Linked DNA regions of Elephas maximus indicus. The protein of the gene in region 1 purifies or fractionates together with the protein of each later gene. This does not show direct contact. Links are inferred from orthologs where the notes say so. Each region holds a gene or a part of one and is shown in the gene's direction. Other genes may lie near its edges. The genes, in order: UBXN2A and PPP1R11.

Region 1 (10,484 bases):
ACGAAAATAATTTAAAATGAGAAGGCATACTTTCAACTCATTCAAAAAATACTAATTGAGCACTGTATCCGGCAGGCACTGTTGTAGGCGCTCAGAATATAGCTATGAAAAAAAAGTCTTTCAAAAACATCAAAAAAAGCAGCTCCATCAAAACATTCACTGAGTGAAGTATTAGAACTCTTTTCACACTGAATATCTATGTCATTCATTTGGCACCTACCTCGAACTGATGTATTTTATTAATAATTTTTCATATGCACACCGTGTGTATATATACAGTCCTAAAGATGAGTTGATGGCAACGGAGCTTTTTAAAAGGTGAGGACTGTGTTTTATTTATCCTCAAGTCTCAAAGTCCTAGCACCATAATTTTAACGAATCATTTCACAAATGGATCAGTGCCTCAATACGCTATTCATTCATTCATTTAAAGATATTTATTGAGTGTCATGTGTCAGACACTGGCAATACAGCAGTTAGTAGGAAAAAGACATAGTGCCTGCCCTCATGGAGCTTATAACCTACTCCAAAAGAAGAGCCTGGGGGAGAAATCATACAAAAATATCATATACCTCCAGATAAAACTACAATAAGAATCTAAAAATTAAAAAAAAAAAATTTAATACCAAAACACTAATTCAAAAGCATCTGAAGTTTATGATCCGACATCAGCACATACTCAAAGTACCTAAAAGCTAATACAAAGTACCTAAAAGTTGAAGTCTATTAACTTTAATGTAGAGGTCTTTTCTATCATTTAACGTAAGCCACATACAATACTTACCTCTCTAAAATGTCCAGCTTACATTTAAATAAAGTTAACACATTTTACCTGTGGTTTTTTCCTCTAACTTTGTACTTCCATAGAACTTTTTATCCAAAAAATCCCAAATGCTTTTTACTCAGCAATGCATTTTTCACAAAGTCTCCCTGGCAGGAGTAAGAGAAACAGACAATATTCCTATTACAAGAGTAAAAACCCAAATACCAAGTAATCAACTAAGTAATGCGCAGAAATGAAACTTCACTGTATTTGTCCAAAAAGAAATGCCAAACACACAATTCAAAGGAATATATGTATCACTTTTCTACAACGGACTGGGTCTTAGAGACAGGGTCACTCTCCTCTCAGTGGAGACACTGACTAGGCACCTTAGTTCTCAGAACAAGTGGTACTCCTATCACCTGTTCAGCAGGTTTCCAGAGGTTATGGGTGTACCTGTAATTACTCAGAAGACATGTAATCAAGGACCTATCAAAGGACTGGTTAAAAAAGAAGACTATTGTGGCTTGAGCACATGCACTTACTTCCTCTCCCACCCCAAATCTCACAAAAGGTATAGCTTAAAAAGAAGACAAGCATGAACAACACAGGGAGATAAGAAGGGGGAAAAAAAATACTAGTCAGGGAAAATGATCAAAGGAATTATTATGTATTTAATTCTACAGGTGTTAAAAGCTTCATCCACGAGCTAAGAAACAACTGAAAGTTTGTATATTTGGACTACAGAAATGGCCAGTAAATGAATGTATAAAGTTGCATTTTCAGTTGCTACCAGAGATGATCCTATGAACTCCACCTCTGCTTTTGGTTCAGAATTGTGACAGAAGACATTGTTTCCCACATTACTCAAGATCTTCTATATTGTGCTCCAAGTGAGAAATACTTCTGAATTTGATAGAAAAAAACTTGCCCTACTCTGAGGAAATTGTATTTTTCCCTACACATCTGAGAGTGATACATGTTATTACTTTTCCCTCTCAGACTTCTTTTCCATGATTAACCCTCAATTTCTACCGCTGTGCTTGTATTATGTTGGCAAATACCATGAGTGATAGAAAAGGAGGATCACAAATTGATAAAAGAGCATATTACAAAAAGACCCAGGATTAATACAGCACTTCACCTAAAAAGTTACTCAAAGTATTTATTCTGATCTTCACAACTAAGATATGAACTCTAAAAGAGTCAGTGACCACGTCAAAAAGACCAAAAGCTAGTGACAAAGCCAGGAGTACCCACAAACAGACCTAACAAAGAGAGGTAGGAAAAGAATTGAAATATTTTTCAAAGACTGTTGTCTAGTTCTGTGAGGACAGTATTAGTTTGCTTGCTGAGATGGCACTTAGGTAGAGCAAATAAATGCTAATTTACTAATGGCCAGATTAACAGAGGTCAAGCTTCATGCACGCCAAAAAGAAAAAAAAAATATATATATATATATATAGTATATAGCAGAGATCACAGCTAACTGCATAGCACTGCAATTCAACTTGACACTAAAAGTGTGGGCACAAGAAAATAATTTCAGTAACCTGCAAAATGTATCCTATATTTATCCCCCTATCATATATATACACTACCTGGGGAAAAGGCAAAGCTATAAGAATAGCCTTTAGTACTATGGCTTTTTAGAGTAAATCATATGCCTCTAGACACAGTGAAAGAAAGAATCTAAAAAGACTCAGAGGGGAAGGAGGGAAAAATCAGCATAAAGGGTTAAGTGAACAACAGCACAGAAGTGAAACATGAAAAGTTCCTCAATCACATATCCTACAAAGGAATACATTTCTTCCTACAAAAATCAGTTTCCTAAAAGCAACAGCATGAGCAACCCCTTTTTCTATCAACTAAGACTTCACAGGCACTAGCAAATGTCTATTACAGACCCCAGAGCCGTGGAGAGTGCTTTATGTGAACCAAGTACTAAACTCCTGTCACATAACACCAACTTTACAGGGAGAGCTTACCAGACTCAAATCAATCCACTTCAGAAATATACAACAAAGGAATATACAGTCTGCATCATAAATATATAGCCCAAAAACCTAATAAATCCAGTAGAATTACAATTTATCCTAAAAGACCAATCACTATGTATGATTAGCAAATCTCTAAAATCTCTGAGAAAGCAATTAGATCACTGCACCATCTACTAGAGCCAAACGCAAATCTTAAAACTGAAAAACAAATATTTCAAAGTATATCTTCGTTAGCCTGTTATCATGGTCTTAAAACATTTTAAAGAAGTCCTTAAAACATAGTTTCATTAGCATCCTTCTAGAAAGAGCTCTAATATCTTTCATTCTTCTAGCAATTTAAAAGCTACCAAATGTTCATGTCTACATTATTGATCCTTGCTTTTAACATCCCCATAACAGCTGCTTGACAAATTACCTCACCTTATTCCTCAGGGGGTTAGGACAGAATGATATCCATGAGTTCAAAAATGTGACCACAAACTGATCAGTGACAGATGAGCTAATTGCTTTGGATGAGGTAGAGACACTGCTCTAATAGACAGTCACGGCATGATACAATTAAATGCTTATACTCTAAATATTTTATTTGTATGTAAGCGTAAAGGGCAGAACTTTTCTTAAATTTACTTTTATTTTAAAATTGATAAGACAGCTTCAGAAAGTCAGAAAGTTTGCACATCTTTGCGACTCTTTCCACAGAAAACCTAGTCTTCAGAATATTTACGCTGAATAGTTTGGACAACTTTAACACTTACCTTTCTTATTTCAACCTAAGAGATTGTTAAGCCCCAAAATATTCTATTAAATAAGACTGAGTTTTAAAAAATATTTTCCAGATTTTTAGCAAAATAAATGCCAAAAATATTTTCAAAGATACAATAAATATATTTCAGAGTAATACGGTAAAATGTTTCCATTGTCTTTGCCTCGACTCCTTCTGTGATTCACGTCAGAACATTGTGTATGACACAAAGAGAAAAAGTATATTCAAACAGTAAACTTGTAGACCCTAAAGAACATAAAAAGTTGCTTTCCCCGGTAAGAATAACAAAATGGTGTGGATTTAAAGGAGCCTTTAGATGAATGGCATGTCCCAGCCAAATCACTCTTGGTAAGTTAGCCTCTTACTAGAAAGAAGCAAGACTGTTCTGAATTCAAGACCAATCTCATAATTGTCAATTATCACTGGTCAATTCCTTTAAAGTGATCATCTAGCTTTACGTTTTACACTGTGGGTAATGAAATTTCAAGATCTTTCCACCACTTTAAAAAAAACAAGCACGCACTTCAAATACCACTTTTGCAATTGTGTGACAACGGAGGTGTTAATTCACCTTTTATAAACTATTCCCGCAACAAAATGTAGACATTCAAGCAGCCATACAATTTTGGGATGATAATACCTACCGTCCAAAACATTCGACACGCTTCTTTCATGCCCCCTTTGTGACCTGAAAGCTTGTTAGCTGGCTGGATCGCCAGCGCTGAAGCTACAATATCCTGTTTGATCTCTCCTGCCTGGAGAGGCGATAGCGTTGATTTTGTTTTTAAAGTTGGTATCACGGCAACTATAAACTTTTTTCAGCATCCCTGCCTGGCTGCCAACTGGAGCTCTCTGTTCACTTCCTCACCAACTTGAACCACCCCCAAACAGTTTTAGAGTAAGCTGAAGTTAGACACCGACAAGAGCTGACACACTTTCAAGAAGGGTTTGACACCGCGGAAAACTTTCACTTCTCCTCTCCAGCCCTTCCACCCAGGGAGCCGATCCTCGGCTCCTGCTCCCCGAGAATTCCCCTCTGAGGCAGGACAAGGACACGGAAAAAAGACGGTTCTAGTGCCCCTGCAAAGGTGCCCCAAAAGCCCTCTCCCCCGGACTCAAGTTCTGCTCTTTACACAAAAGAGCCGGGGCAACGAAACGGTGGCGGCCCTTCCTGAGCCGGTGCCACCTCCACCGCGCCCGCAGACCGGGTCTCCGGCCGCCCGAGCGGTCTCCGCCGGAGCTGTCCTGCCCCCAACCCGGCCAGACAAAGCACCGGCGGCTGGGCCGAGACTTTCAAGCCTCCGGACACGGGCTGCCGCGCTCTTACCCGGGCTTCGTCCAGAGCGACGCCGCCGCTTCCCCCGGCCTTGGTGGCAGGGCAGCTGGCAGCGCGGGTCTTGGAGGAGCGGGTCCGAGAGGAGATGAAATGGCTGCTGCCTCCGGTTGCCCCAGGCTCCGCTCCGGCCCCAGGCCCAGGCCCAGGCCCAGGCGACTTGGACCCGAGAAGGCGCAGAGAGCTCTTCCGGGTGTTCACCATGGTCCGGCCAGGGAGACGGGACCCACGCCGCGGCTGCCGCGCCCCGGGGAGGCGAGGAAGGCCGGTCCGCCGGCCGGGCAGTCAGGGCCAGCGGAGCTGAGTCCGGCAGGGAGATGAGCCGGCTCGGACTCTGCGAAGCGCGGGCGAGGGCAGGCGAGAGTAGGACAGAGGAAAGGAAGTCGGCGTGCGAAGGCAGGTAGCGACAGGCGTGAGTGATGCTCCGGGCCGACACACAGCCCCTTCGCCGGCTTCGCCCTCCTCAGCGGGAGCTGAACGGAGCCGCCATGTCTGCCCCTTTCTCTCTCGCTCTAGCTCCCTCGCTCCGTGCGTCAGGACTCAAGCGCCGCAGGGCCGACGCGATCGCTTCCGACCGTGGCCGCTGCGGGGCGCTGCAAGGCCGGCCAGCCCTTCCCTTCCCGGTTTCTCCCTCCTCTCCCCCGCTTCGCCTCCCAGTAGGCCCCGCCCGGCGGCGCGGCGTCAACTCTCGGCTGCGAGAGAGGAGACGCTCTGGGCTGTGTCATCTCTATGGTTTCCGCGTCTCCCCCGCGAAATAGGCTGTGCTGAGGGGTGTTGGGGAAGACCCGACAGCGCGAGCTTGGGAGTAATTGGTTCTGAGGCCCTTCATACCTCCCCAGGCCCGAGTACCTCAGACACCCCCACCATCACCCTAGGTGACCTGGAAGGCGCAAGGAATGAGCAGCAAAGGCGGAGGAGGAAGGGGTGTCCGGGGGAACGGTGACGACGAGGGCGCAGTCAAATGAATTGGATTCCCAGAGCTCCCCTAAGGCAAGGTACTGAACTTGAGTCACACTTTTCATGGCTGTAAAAATGAGGATAACTGTGATAAAATAGATCTGCAGTGTCTGGCACAGAATAGCTTAAAAAAAAAAAAGGCCACGCTAGAACCCTCTGCCTTTAAACAAAGCAAGGCAGGATCGTTTCCTATAACCGTAGCCAAGGCAGAGCCACAAAGGAACGAATTCTTCTTACTCAGAGTCTTGCTTATCACTGCCCACTCTCTGCCTGCCGAACCCAAAGATATCAAATGCGTGGTTTAACTTTAAAGAAAAAAATTTAAGGCATACAATTAATATTAAAAGTTCAGCTGTAAAGTAGGGGTTATGTTCATTTCAAAAATTCACTGTTAAGAAGAGGTAGAGAGCCCACTATTGGGGCAGAAGTTTTTCCTGTTTTCTACAGCAACAAAAACAAGCCTCCAGAAAAGCTCTGCGAAAATCACCAGGCGGTATCACAATGAGACCATTCATGCCATCCAAGCTCCTAATCATTTAATAGAACTGCATATAGCACTGGGTATGGAAATACAGTTTTTCTCTTTGGGAAAGCAGTACTGATTCCAGGAGGCAGCAAATCCTTTTGACACTAATTTGCATACCACGCACCGCCCTAGGACCCTTCACCCGCCACTTAAAACCAGCCTTTTAATGTGTGTGGAGACCTCAGATTGGAAGAAGGCCTGGGTTTTCCTGAGGCAGTTAGCTGTGAGATTATTGACCAAAACCTTTTCATTTCCTGCCGAAAGAGACTGGTTTTAAGCAGTGTGTAAATTGTCCCAGTGAGGTGTGTGGTATGCAAATTAGCCGACAAAGGATTTGTGTGCTTTCCTCCATTGTTTTGTTTTTGTAGTCTTAAATTCGGGAGGAAAGATTATAATATGGATTATACCATTTACTATCAATAAATGTTTACCCCAAACCCAACTAGTATTAGTAGGTACACTGCCAGGCTCAGATATGTGGAGATTTAAAAACAGTAACAACATAGTTCTGGCCCTCAGGGAGCTCACAAACAAAGAGAGGATGAGGGACAGTCAAGGAACTACTGAGCTGCAACACAATGTTACAAGAAAGAATGAGGTACAGACCCCTAATACAAGCAGGGGTGTTAGGGAAACCCTCTGCGTGGTAATGACCCTTGAGATGCTCTTTAAGCCACAAACAACAACATACAAAGGCAACATGGACAAAGGAAAGCCTGAAAAAGACTTGGAAGAGTTGCCTATTTCCCAGAGTAGGAACTAGTGAAAATAACTAAAAAGTCTTAATAGAATTTTTCTTTTGACATTATTTAAAACTACATCCACGAACCAGCAAGACACTGAGTAACAGCAAGAATTCAGACAAGTAAGCAAAGCCCTAAAGGCAGCTTTCAGTCTCAATGCATTTGCTCAACCCCAGTAAATTAGACCTTCTATTTTCTCTGCTTCAGGAGATGCAAAGGACAGGAGACCAAGTCCAGAACCTGCTCAAAGTATCAGTCTAACAGTCGCCCTGCAAAATCCTGGTAGCAAAAGGATTCATCCTAAGTACAAGACCAAATTAGGAGTAAACAACCTTTCCATCATTCCCAGACGACAGCAAAGAAAAGTGCCTTTCCCAGAATTGACGCTAAGAATAAGGGATAAAAAATATATCCCTTGAGAATTCAAAACAACAAACTGGTCCTCCTTCCTATTTACAGCCTGAATTCACCAAATCTGATAGGTGTGAAGACCCTCAGGATAATCATTTAGACTAAATACACTTGAGTCAAAAGTGGTCCTAAGCACAAAGCAAAAGCAAATAAAAATCACCTCTGAAAGAATGAACCTTTAACAGGAGATGCAAAAAAAACAAAGTCTTATGAATACGACTCACAGTAAAAGAAATTCACAAAACACACAAGAAAAAGTTACGTAAAACAGCGAGCGAAAAAGAATAGCCGTCAGAATAAAACCCATTGCCATCTAGTCAATTCTGACTTATAGGGACCCTACAGGACAGAGAACTGCCCATAGGGTTTCCAAGGCTTTAAATCTTTACTGAAGCAGACCTCCACATCTTTCTCCAGAGGAGTGGCTGCTGGGTTCAAACCACCAACCTTTCGGTTAGCAGTCGAATGCTTAACCACTATGCCACGAAGCCTCCTGACATCTGAATAAGACCCACAAAAATTTATATTCAGATATATAAAACAAGTGTTTAGCTATTTAAAGAAGTGAAAGATTAGAAAATATTAATAAACAAAAGCTTATAAAAATGACAAGCAAATTTAAACTGAAAAATTGACCATAAAAAAACAATTAGAAATCAATAATAAAAAGTTACCTGAAAATTCCTGAATATTTAGAAATTAAACAATAATTCTAAATAACACATGGGTAAAAAAATAAATCAAAAAGGGAATTAGAATATATTTTGAACTAAAGGAAAATGAAATTAAGTGTTTCAGAAATTGTGGGATGTAGCTAAATGTCATGAATTGAATGGGGCCCCCAAAAAGTATGTGTCAACTTGGTTAGGCCATAATTCCCAGTATTGTGTGGCTGTCCTCCATTTTGTGATTGTAATTTTGTGTTGAGAGGATTATGGTAGGATTGTAACACCACCCTTACTCAGGTCACCTCCCTGATCCAAGGTAAAGGGAGTTTCCCTGGGGTGTGGCCTGCACCACCTTTTGTCTCTCAAGAGGTAAAAGGAAAGAGAAGCAAGCAGAGAGCTGGGGACCTTATACCACCAAGAAAGCAGCACCAGGAGCAGAGCAGGTCCTTTGGACCTGGGGTCCCTGCGCCTGAGTAGCTCCTCAACCAGGGGAAGATTGATGACAAGGAATCTTCCTCCAGAGCAGACAGAGAGAGAAAGCCTACCCCTGGACCTGATGCCCTGAATTTGGACCTGTAACCTACTAGATTATGAGAAAATAAATTTCTTTGTTAAAGCCATCCACTTGTGGTATTTCTGTTATGGCAGCACTAGATGACTAAGACACAAAACCACCGCCTACAGAGAAATTAATAGTTTAAAATGTATGTATTATAAAAGCAAAAAAAAAATCTCAAATCAGTGAACTAAGCTTCCACCTTCAGAATCTCAGGAAAGAGGAAAAAGCAACTCAATGTAAGTAGAGGTAGGAAATAATACATGTAAGAAGAGATCGATGAAATAGAAAATAGAGAAAATCAGTGAAATCAAAAGCTGATTCTTTGGGTGAAAAATAGTAAAAATCACTTCTTGTTGCTGGTTGCTATCAAGTTGGCTCTGACTCATGGTTACCTTATGTATAGCAGAACAAAATGGTGCCCAGTCCTATGACACCTTAATGATCTTTGATGTGAAACTCTCATTAGACCAACCAATAGAAAAAGAGAGAAACATAGTTCATAAAGAATATGTTCTACATCCTACTTTGGTAAGTAGTATCAGGTCTTAAAAGCTCTAAGATACATCTACTGGTCCCTTTCCATCCTGAGCAAAGGAGAATGAAGAAAACCAAAAACACAAGGAAAATATTAGCCCAAAGGACTAAAGGACCACATGAACCATAGCCTCCACCAGCCTGAGCCCAGAACTAGATGGTGCCTGAGTACCACTACGGACCACTCTGACAGAGATCACAATAGAGAGTCCCAGACTGAGCGAGAGAAAAATGTAGAACAAAATTCAAATTCACACACACACAAAAAAAGACCAGACTTATTGGCCTGACAGAGACTAGAGGAACCCCTGAGAATATGGCCCCCAGACACACTGCCAACTCAGAACTGAAGCCACTCCCGAAGCCCACTTTTCAGCCAAAGAGTAGACAAGTCTATGAAACAAACAATAACACACATGAGGAACGTGCTTCTTAGTTCAATCAAGTATACAAGACCAAATGGGCAACACCTGCCCAAAAGCAAAGACAAGAAGGCAGAAAAATCAAAAACAAAAAAAAAGCCATTGCCATCGAGTCGATTCCAACTCATAACAGGACCGGAAAACTGGAAGAAAGGACATGGGGAACCCAGGGTGGAATGGGAAAGGGAGAGAGTGCTGACATAATGCAATGATTGCAAGCAATGTCACAAAACAGTTTGTGTATAAATTTTTGAATGAGAAACTAATTTGCACTGTAAACTTTCACCTCAAGTACAATACATATTTTAAAAAAAGAGAGGAGAGAGAGAGAAGACAGAAATAATTATTATCAGGAACAACACTTGATATCCACAGACATTAAAAGGATAATAAGGTGATAGCATAAATATCTTTATGTCAATAAATTTGACAATATAGATGAAAAGGGAGAATTCTGTAAAACACACAACTTTAAGACAAATTGAAGCAAAATCTAAAACCCAAATGACCCAATATAATATAGATTTTTCTTAAAATGCCATCTTGACCCAGTTTTGAGGCCCTAGCTAGAGACTGACTGGTCCCTTTTTTCCACACTCCAACCACTCCACCTCCCTTATCCAGCTCTCACACTCTGGGGCTGATATGTACCCAGCCTAATCGACCTAGGGCCTGGTACCAAACTACTAGAGACAGCCCCTTAGCCCAGAGGCTACCCCCAAAAAAACCCATTGCCATCAAGTTGATTCTAACTCATAGCAACCCTAAAGGACAGAGTAGAACTGCCCCTCTGCCCCTGCCCCAG
Region 2 (10,397 bases), on another chromosome or scaffold:
GTGTTCCACAAACTGGGGACAGCCATGCCTATGTCGGTAGAGGAAGGGCCTGAGTTCCAGGGACCTGTGGTAAGTTAATGAAGTCAAGAACTGTCCATAGGGGGAGAGTGTGATTGCAAAGATCTGGAGGGTTTTGGACCCAGTTCCAAGAGGGAAGAGGGGTCTTTAGAGCAGATATGTCTGTGATAGCCTGATTCCTATGAGAAGTAGGGGGCTTTGATTAGGCCTCCCCTGCCTCACTAGTTCTCTTCCCAGATTGATAGACGCTGCTCCCGATGTGGTCATGAGGGAATGGCATACCATACCAGACAGATGCGCTCAGCTGATGAAGGGCAAACTGTCTTCTACACCTGTACCAACTGCAAGTAAGTATTATTTCCTCTTCCTCTGCTTTCTCAGTCTGTTTACTAACTAAAATACAGTGGCTTAAATTTTTACTAAACATTTCTTTTCTTTGATCTCATCCAACATTTCTGTACAGTTTAGGTAATAGGGAGATATGTGGCCTTTTTTTTTTTAAGTAAATTACTCTTTCTTACCCTTTTTATAGCAGTTAACTAAACTTTTAAAAAATATTTATAAGAAGATGAAAAAATACAGAAGGCAGGTATTGCTTAGTGGCCACCATGTTATGCTGGAGCCTACCACTGCAATCAAGGTACTTTTACTTTGGTGAGAATTAGTAAAGAGTGTGGACTCTGAATGGTTTTGAGAACTGGCCTTTGTCTTTGGTGTTCTGTAGTTCCATTATAATGTGTCAAGATGTGGCTATCTTTTATTAATCCTATTTGGGATTTGTTGGACTTTCCAAAACTAGGGATTGATTTTTTTTCTTAAACAACCTTATAAATGATTAACCATTATCCCATTGAATGTTGTCTTTCCCCTATGTTTAATTCTCACATTCTGGATCTCTAATTAATTGTGTAAGGAGTCCCTGGGTGGTGCAGAGGGTTAAGCACTCACCTTCTAGTTGAAAGGTTGGCTGTTCGAACCCACCCAGAGGTGCCTTGGAAGACAGGCCTAGTGACCTGCTTCTGAAACCTCATGAAGCAGTTCTACTTTGCACATGTAGGGTTGCCATGAGTTGGAATTGACTCACTGGCAAACAACAATTAGTTTTGTAGTAAACCCTCTGTTCACTATTTCTTACAACCTGTCTGTCTTAGTTATCTAGTGCTGCCAAAACAGAAATACCACAAGTGGGTGGCTTTAACAAACAAATTTTCTCAGTTTAGGAGGCTGGAAGTCTGAATTCAGGAAGCTAGACATCTGAATTCAGGGCACCAGCTCTAGGGGAAGGCTTTCTGTCTCTGTCAGCTCTGGAGGAAAGTCCTTGTCTCTTCAGCTTCTGTTCCTTGATTCTTGTGATCCTCATGTGGCATGGTATCTGTCTTCCTCCATCTGCTTGCTTGCTTAATCTGCTCTTTTATATATCAAAAGAGATTGAGTTAAGACACATCGCTATACTAATACTGCGTCATTAACATAAAACAAAGAAAAAACATTCCCAGATGGGATTATAACTGAAGGTATAGGGGTTAGGATTTACAACACATATTTTGGGAGGACACAATTCAGTCTATAATACTGTCTTTCATATTTTCCATCTTTTTTCCTCTCTATGCTGCCTTCTGGGTATTTTCTACAGGCCTCTCTTCTAAGTTACTAATTCTTTCTTCAGTTTATTTCGGTTATTATTTTTTCATTTTTATGAGTTCTACTTGATTAGTTTTCAAATCTTAGTCATTTTTAAGTCATTTTTTAGTGTTTTTTTAAAAATAACTAGTTCAATTTAAATGCATATTACATTTAAATTGAGTTATTTATATTCTGTTTCTGGTAATTCTGGTATCTATGGAAACCCTGGTGGCATAGTGGTTAAGTGCTAAGGCTGCTAACCAAGAGGTCGGCAGTTTGAATCCACGAGGTGCTGCTTGGAAACTCTATCAGGCAGTTCTACTCTGTCCTGTAGGGTCGCTATGAGTCGGAATCAACTCGACGGCAGTGGGTTTTTTGGTTTTACAGCCTTTGTGATCTGATGCTGCTGTTGTTTCTGATGACTGGCTCATGGTGCTGCTTTTCTTGTTTTTGTGTTTTTACTATAAACTCAGGTTTTTTAGAACTTTATGGGAATTTTTTGAGGCTTGGGGTGAATGCTGTATTGTCAGCATTTGTGTTTGCTTTTTCAGGTGTCTTGAGGCACTATGGAAACGCTGGTGGTGTAGTGGTTAAGTGCTACAGCTGCTAACCAAAGGGTCAGCAGTTCGAATCTGCCAGGCGCTCCTTGGAAACTCTATGGGGCAGTTCTACTCTGTCCTATAGGGTCACTATGAGTCAGAATCGACTCGACAGCACTGGGTTTGGTTTTTTTGGTTTTGGGGCACTACAAAGCTGGAATCACTTTAAATAAATTCTCAGCTTCAGGTTTTTCAAACCGCACAGGTAGTATGAATTTGGGCTGTAAAACCATGTAAGGGCCAAGCTTATGGTTAGAACTTCTCAGGCAAGGTCTTTCTCTCCCTCTACCTATTGAGTCACATTCCCCTTCTGCAGAGATGGATTCGTTTACTTTTACATAGACCGGTAGCCCTTTGGTGGGGGTGGTGTGCAGATTTATAGGGATCTCCTAGCAGATGTTGCAGGTTTTGTCTTTGGTTTCTTATGCTCCGTGTGGCTGTCAAAACAGTAGTTCAGGGGCACAAAAGGTAGCAGGGGACTTTTAACTTACTTTTTTGGATTCCTGGTTTTACATCATTTTTGACCAGTGAAAAGATTACCTGTACTTTCTAGCCAACTCATCAATGGATTTTAGAAAGAGAATTTTCTCCAGTCTCTGGCTTGCCTATTTATTTTCTTAACTTTTTATGAGTAGAAGTTTTTTATTTTGATGTTTATCCATTTTTCCCCCTTTTATGGTTAATATTTTTTGTGTTCTAAGAAATCTTTGTGCACCTCAAGGTCATATAGTTCATCATATATATTTTTTAGTCACAGTGTTTTTAGTTGTCCTGACGTTGTCTAAGAAATCTAGTTTTCCACAGTGGCATAAATAAAAGTTCTTCCTTAATTCTTTAACTGAATGTCTCATCTTACACTGCTACAAACTCTTCCTTTGGCCTAATGTACTGAGTCCTTTATTTTTCCATAGGTTCCAGGAGAAGGAAGACTCTTGATGTTTTTTTTCTGGGCTACTCAACAATTTCTCCTTCCCTCTCCTCTTCCTTGGAAGGTGAAGGGTATTGGGTCCTTAGATACCCTGTCCATGATCGTTGGTTGCAATATCTTGTTCTCAGAAGGAAGATTAGATCATGTGGGGACTACCGTTGTTTCCAGAGCACTCCAACCCCTAGTTAAGTTTCCTTATTAAAGTTATATTTCTCTAGAAGACTCTAACATATATATGCTGTTTTTAATTTGCCTTATTTCAAAAGAAATGTAAATGAGCTTACAGAGATATATTCTTTCAGCAAATGTATCAACTCAGAAAGATAATATAAATTAGTAATATAAGACAAAGAAAACAAAAAACCCAAGGACAAAAAATGGAACCAGAGATGATGGTAATATAAAAAAGCAATTAAAAGTATTCCCTCACTATTTAAATCTATTTGGTTACTGAGTTTAGGAAAACAAAAGTGGAAGTTTGGACAGTGAGAGGTTCAACCAAAAATCTGCATCTATTTGGTTTATAAGTTTGGGCAACAAATTTGATACCAGGGAGTACCAGTGTATACTTATGACAGTGAACAAGAAATTACTTAAATGGAAATATTTTTTCTTTAGCTGCTGTGATGCAGTGAATTACTTAACGTGGCCCTTCTAGCCATAGTCTTTGTGACTTCTGCACAATGACTGGGTGGGACTATGCAAATAAGGTGCTTTTGGCCCACCAAGGGGATTGGACAGCTTGCTGCTAATGCAAATAAGGTACATGGAACACTTGTGGGGTTGGGACCATGCACATAAGGTTTATGGAACCCTAACAAGGGGATTGGTCGGTTTTGACATCCCACTAGGCTTAAAGCGAGACACCGGGGAAATAGAGGGAGGAGTTGTAACAGGGAAGACAGCGAGAGACCGCGGCACAGCAATAGCAAGAGTGATAGTGGTGCAAGCTGGCAGGAACCACGAGACCAGCATGAGATGACACCGAGTTAAAGAGTTGTAACTTGCCGGAGAAGGCCCCAAGCAGGGCACAGCAGCAGAGGGTGAGAAGAAGCTGTCTTGATTAAGAACTGTATCCTGAGTTGTTCCTGTTACTTCTGAGTAGTTACTGGTCCTGAGCTGTACCCTATTACTTCCCTAATAAATCACTTAACTGTAAGTACAATTTGTGAGTTCTGTGAGACATTGCAGCGAATTATGGAACCCAAAGACTGGAGGGAGAGTACTGAGGGGAGGGGGAGTAGTTGACGTTAGAGATGATGGAGTGGTACAGCAGTTTGGAAAAGTTGGACGTTTGGAACATCTTCAGCCTCTGCCTCAGGAATCAGCTTTGTGCTGATCCTTACAAAAGAAATCATTCATTCAACTGCCCTGGAGATAAATGTAGCACACAACTGTGTGTCTCTTCATATACTCACACCTTTCAAACACACCACCCTGTTTTATCCCTACAGCAACCTGGAGAGATGGGTAGGGCAGTCTTCCTAGCCATACACTTGGAATGTTCTTGTAGTTGACTTTCCTGCCCCGCTCCCAAAATCTGAAACAAATCTGTGCATGTTTCCACCCTACTTTAAGCCATTACCTGGCTCATACACTAACTGGATAAAGTCCAAATTTCATAGCAAAGCATACAGGGCCTCCCATATAACCAGTGCATACCCATCAAGTGTCATCTGGCACTCTTCTTACATCCCAGCAATACAAAACCGTTTGTGCACACACCTCTGACTTTGTCAGCTGTTCAATCTAAAAAGCCTTTGCCCACCTCCCGGTTCCCTTTTTTACCAATTTTTTTTTTTGCTCCCCAAGAACTTGTATATATTTCTATTGCAGCACAAATTGCCCTATGTTGTAATTTCTGGCCGTTTCTTCGCTTAGTCTTATTCATCTCCACCCCAGTAACCAACTCAAGCGAGAGTACGCTGGCAATTGTTTCACAAATTTACTTCAGTTTTAATATCCTAATGATTTATAGTAATTATCTGCGTGCCTGTTTTTACCACTAGTATGGGAGTGAGTAGTTCATGCGCTTCCATCTTCAGGGCCTAGTACCTGAACCCATTGCCATCGAGTCAACTCCGACTCATGGTGACCCTGTAGGACACAAGAGAACCACCCATAGAGTTTCCAAGGAGCACTTGATGGATTTGAACTGCTGACCTTTTGGTTAGCAGCCGAACTCTTAACCACTAGGCCACCGGGGTTTCCCAGGGCCTAGCACAGTAATTGGAATAACCCAAGTTGAAGATGCATGAAGTGCCTTGCCTGCACATTTACAGGTACAGGGCGAGGGCTAGAACCGAGATCGTTTGATTCCTCAAGTGTATTTTCAACTGCACCAAGGCTTCCTCTCCTTAATTCCCAGGAGTAACGACCAGGAAACGGGAATAGGCCATTCTAGGGTCTTTACTATTGCCCCTTAGTTTTCTCCACCCAACCCTCACCGCAAGGGTTAAGGGTCTGGGGCTCAGTTACAGAACATCACAAACCTTAAGCTCGCGCCAGGGCTAGCCGTAGCCCGCGGGGCAAGATGTCTGCAGCGCCGGGCCCATCCCACCTCTACTAGACCGCCCCTCCTCCTTTATCTCTAGTGCGCTTTCACGAGCTACCCGGTCGGTTTCAACCCACTGCAGTGACGCTCCCCTGCAGTGACGCTCCTTCCGCCAAATAGCTAGTTCTTCTTGCGGCGCCTGCGCAGGAGGGCGGAACTAACCTGGGGACGCCTGCGCTCTGACGCTTTAGCTGAGGGGAGGGGGCAGGGAGAAGGGGAACTACAGCAGTCCTCACACCCGGAAGCGGAGAGCCGGAAGTGGGGTTGGACAGGTTATCCCAGGGGTGGGGAAGCGGACGCCCAGGAGGAGGGGGAAAAAAGAAGGCGGAGGGTCCTGGCTACTACACTGAATCCGATACCGATTCTCTCAGATCTCAGAAATACTGAAAAAGGGAAGGGTGTCTTGTACCCCTTCCTCCCCTCCACCCTCTCCTCAGCCTTAGCCATGGCCGAGGCAGGGTCCGGGATGAGTGAGACCGTCACTGAGACAACGGTTACCGTGACAACTGAGCCCGTGAGAAAGGCGGGGGGCGGTGCTGTTTAGGGGTCTGGGAGATATTGGGAGGGAGGGACAGGTTATTAGAGAGTTGCTCCAGGAACTGCGCTTGGGGATATGCGAGGAGTGGGGTTGAATATCTGGGGTTTCGAGAATCACAAGATACTGGGGATAATTGGATGGAGCAAGCGGCTAGTCAAAGGACATGCAGTGGCTTAGAGTTAGGATATAGGTGATGCTGCTTGGGGTGATGGTGGTATAACTAAGTAATGAAAGAATGAGAAATTGGGGGTGAGGACCAAGGAGGGCGCTGGGGGGTGGGGAATGAAGGGCCGTGTAAGGAAGCATGGCTGGAGGCCAGTTAGTAGAGGAATTCAACCGGAAGCATACTTAATAAATATTTTTTTAATTGAATGTAAAGAGGAGTGGAAGGAATGAGGGAAGAAGGGAGATGGCGACAAGTGTTTTGAGAAATCAGAGAGGGGAGATGTGAGATGGAGAAATAAGTTGCATTTTTGCAAAAATAGAGATTAAGTTGCTTTCAAAGGAAGAGGGTTGCATTGGTTTAATGCCTGGATTAAGGAAGTTTAGAATAGTCGTTACTGGATATGCCAGGATGCTAGGGAATAGATGGATGGGAAGTAGGAAGGTCTGAACTGGAGGATGGGAGGGGTGAGAATGGAGGTCTTTCTGTAACGGAAAAAAAGGAATTGGGGGTCTGAATAAAGAAAAGATCAAAGATTAGGCATTGGGGACTGAGAAAATAATTTTCATGTATTAATACCACCAAGTATGATTTGGGAGGAAGACGGAGATAGAGCGAGGATTATATTTTCCTTTGAACATATGCTGAGACCTTCCCTAGGTTAGGAATTGTGTCTTCTCCGTGCACTATTGGATATCAAGAACAGGAAATAATTCTTCAATCTTCCTCAGGGGACTCCCTGAGGCCAAAGACCTGTTCTATTTTATCTTTTCCCAGCCCTCAGCTCCTCTTGTACTGCGTTTGTGGTACTGATTAAGCTGGGAAAGGGACGAGAAAAGGCCCCTGGGAGGGAGTGGGAATGGTCTGTTGGAGGGGAGTAGATAGGTATGCCCATCTGTCTTAACCCTCCAGGAGAACCGGAGCCTAACGATCAAACTTCGGAAACGGAAGCCAGAGAAAAAGGTGGAATGGACGAGTGACACTGTGGACAACGAGCACATGGGGCGCCGCTCATCAAAATGTGAGTAATCATTGGCCCACAGTAGCCCTTAGGTCCTGGCTCCCCTCTGCAGATCTCTCTTATATCCACTGGCCACCCCAAGGACCCCAGATGCTTATGATCCTGTCACTGTCTTGCTGGTTCTCTGGCATTAGAGAGAGGAGGTTAATAATAGAGGGAAAGAGGTGGGGAGAGGGCTAGAACTGGGGTGTGCCTAGGTCTGAAGGCAAGATGTAGCAGAGGTTAGAGAAATGGGGTTTTGGATTCCTGGCTCTATAAAAGGAGAGCCCAGGACATAAGGGTTGGGTCTGTGAGTCCCAGAGGGTAAGCCTGGGGAAGCTGGATCCTGGAAGGTAGGAGGAGGCAGTGGTAGATGTAGGAATTTTCACTGAGATCCAGTGAGAATGGAGCTGACTCTACATCTTACACTTTCTTCTTTTTAACTGGGTTCCTCCCCCCACTTCCAAATCTAGGCTGCTGTATTTATGAGAAACCTCGGGCCTTTGGCGAGAGCTCCACGGAGAGTGATGAGGAGGAAGAGGAGGGCTGTGGTCATACACACTGTGTCCGGGGCCACCGCAAAGGACGGCGTCATACATCCCAGGAACCAACCCCCACCACCCCTCCCCAGCCTCCTGACCCCTCTCAGCCCCCTCCAGGGCCAATGCAGCACTAAATTCCTCTCTCCCCCACCATTCCATTGTCTGCTTGGCCCTGAATGTATCCATGTGGCTACTTGGGGACTAAACTCATGGTTTGATCCCTTCTCTAGTCCCCCTCCTTCCCTCTTCTCTGCCTGATAGAGGGAAGAAGAAGAGGAGGGTGGACAGAGATCCTGGAATTCTGACTTGCTGCTATACCAGAACCCGGGCTTCTGGGTTCCCCCAGCCCTGATTTCTCTTCCCAAGACCCATCCTCCCCTCCCCAGGGATCTAGGCATCTTGGTTCTAGTCCCCTCCCTTTGTTCTCACTGCCAAACAGCCTGTCCTGGGATCCAGTTATCTCAGTCCCCTGAACTCTACTTGAGTCCCAAACACTTAAACTGGGCTTTCAACAGCCCCAGCTTTCACTGCCAGGGTCCCAGTCAGATTCCAGGCAATCTTGCCCCAGCTATGCCCATTAATCCTGGCTTAGAGCTCTTCCACTAATGTATTTACACAGTCCTAACTCTTAGTCCTCACCTGTGGGATGTGAGGTTTCATGGAAGACCTCAGGGCTCCCAGCCCTACCTCTCCTCCCCTTCTGACCACTCCCTCATTCTGTCTAGAGGAGTTAGGAGAGAGAGGTCTTTGTCATTCTCATCTGTAATGGAAAATGGAGCAAGAAATAGTCGTGTTCTTTCTCAGAGATCTAGGATTCATGAAAGAACTGGCTCTGAAACTGGCCAGTTAGAATCGTCTCCTCAGCATCGGTCTTCCAGCTTCTGAGACAGATCCAACATAGTCCCAGGGGCCTAGGTCCCTAGAGGAGGGAGGGAAAGGCGGGAGCTGAGAGATGGGGGTGTGTGCCTCACACTCTTACCCCTTCCTTGTTAGGCTTTAATGCCTCTGCCAGCCCAGATGTCCAATTCTCTTGGTCCTCTCCACCCCTTACTGGGATCTGAGTATCACTTCTCATGCCTCTTGACATGCACGGTTGCAGAGATCAATCAAATCCATACCACCAGAGATCTCATTTATTGCCACAGATGCACAAAATAAATAACCCAAGGTCACAAAACGTGTTAAATACGGGCCCATTTATACACATGGGGAAAGATGCGAGCCTATGTACAGGGTTGTTTCGGGGAGTCTGGGCCATTCCCAGGTAGAGAGGAGAGGTAGCACCATTGGTTCCATTGTGAGTACGTACAGGTGGTAATCTTAAGAAAGCTCTTAATGGAGAAAGGCTGTGAGCATAGGAAGCAGTCATGGATGGAGAACTGGTCCACAAAAAAAAAAAAAAAAAAAAAGGCTATTAAGCTTCCCAGAGGGCCCTGAGGTCTTGGCCAGAGTCAGGCCATCTGTTTTTTAGTAGGCAGCTCTTGTGTAGGAGAGGCTTCCAAGTGCACAAGGCAGGGAATGGAGAAGGCTTTGGGCCCTTCTGTGGAGGTAGGAGAGGCTGGAGTGAGAGCTGAATGTCTGACTACCAGGGCATCTGTGTCGTAAACATGGGTCCTTCATCCATACTGATGGAGCAGAGCCTGCTCTCTAATTCAGCCTGGGAATCCTGTAAGACGTGGAAAGGTCAGTTGGGGAAGACGGGCAGGCGTGGAGGAGGAGAAGGTCCCAAGAGGGAGAGGCAGGAATGGATTCCAGCTTTGGTGAGGATGTGGAAATCTGGAGACCAGTCGAGAACCACACTCAGCCTTCTGCCGGCACGATGCGGAGCAGGGCGCGGGGATCGCGGGTGCAGAGCAGGGGGAAGACGCGCTCCCCCAGGGGGCCAGGCGCCTGGAAGGCGAAGAGCAGGTCCAGTGAGCGGCCGTCGTAGAAGGCGACTCGGCCCCGCTCCCAGTCCAAGTCCACGCGAATGCGGCGAGGCGGGGGCCCAGCGCCCCCCAGCAGGGTGGGCTCCGGGGCCGTGAGAGCCCACAGGCGGCCTCCACGGCCCTCCACAGCCCACACAGCCCCCGCGGGGCACAGCCCTACGCGGCCCTTGCGTCGCACTGACTCCCCGGCCGCGCCCACGGCGTAGCGGCTCTCCCCATCGTCCTCATCCTCCCCAGAAGAATCCTCGCAGGAGACGGTGTCCGCGGTCTCCACCTCCCAGCAGTGGCGGCCAGCGCCGAAGCCCTGTGCGCCCAGCACTGCCGGGAGCTGGTCGAAGCGCGCGGGGCTGTCAGGGGGCGCGGGCGTCCCTGGTGGGGCCAGTCGGACACTGCGGCAATCGGAGGAGATGACCAGGTGGCGGTGTGCTGTGCCAGGATCCAGGGTCAAGTCGGCTGGAGAGGGGAGGGCAGACAGAAGACCGCGTGAGAGGGGCAGAGAATACT

The links.
Region 2: the proteins of UBXN2A (region 1) and PPP1R11 purify together in Homo sapiens (affinity purification with mass spectrometry; 3 studies listed by BioGRID and IntAct, counting the BioPlex papers as one, with this or other methods). This does not show direct contact. The link is inferred for Elephas maximus indicus from reciprocal best matches to the Homo sapiens genes UBXN2A and PPP1R11.

The regions. Positions count from the first base shown.
Region 1 is NC_064830.1:41,456,172-41,466,655, forward strand, and holds the start of UBXN2A (UBX domain-containing protein 2A), read left to right. Parts: upstream 1-5,592; 5' UTR 5,593-5,820; coding exon 5,821-5,854; intron 5,855-10,484. Other genes in the region: ATAD2B (ATPase family AAA domain-containing protein 2B), read right to left, coding at 4,854-5,063. UniProt on the Homo sapiens protein: Acts to repress the ubiquitination and subsequent endoplasmic reticulum-associated degradation of CHRNA3 by the STUB1-VCP-UBXN2A complex in cortical neurons.
Region 2 is NC_064819.1:89,723,890-89,734,286, forward strand, and holds PPP1R11 (E3 ubiquitin-protein ligase PPP1R11), read left to right. Parts: upstream 1-6,000; 5' UTR 6,001-6,167; coding exon 6,168-6,236; intron 6,237-7,335; coding exon 7,336-7,444; intron 7,445-7,896; coding exon 7,897-8,099; 3' UTR 8,100-9,146; downstream 9,147-10,397. Other genes in the region: POLR1H (DNA-directed RNA polymerase I subunit RPA12), read left to right, coding at 1-69, 256-365, 3,152-3,176; RNF39 (RING finger protein 39), read right to left, coding at 9,766-10,346. UniProt on the Homo sapiens protein: Atypical E3 ubiquitin-protein ligase which ubiquitinates TLR2 at 'Lys-754' leading to its degradation by the proteasome.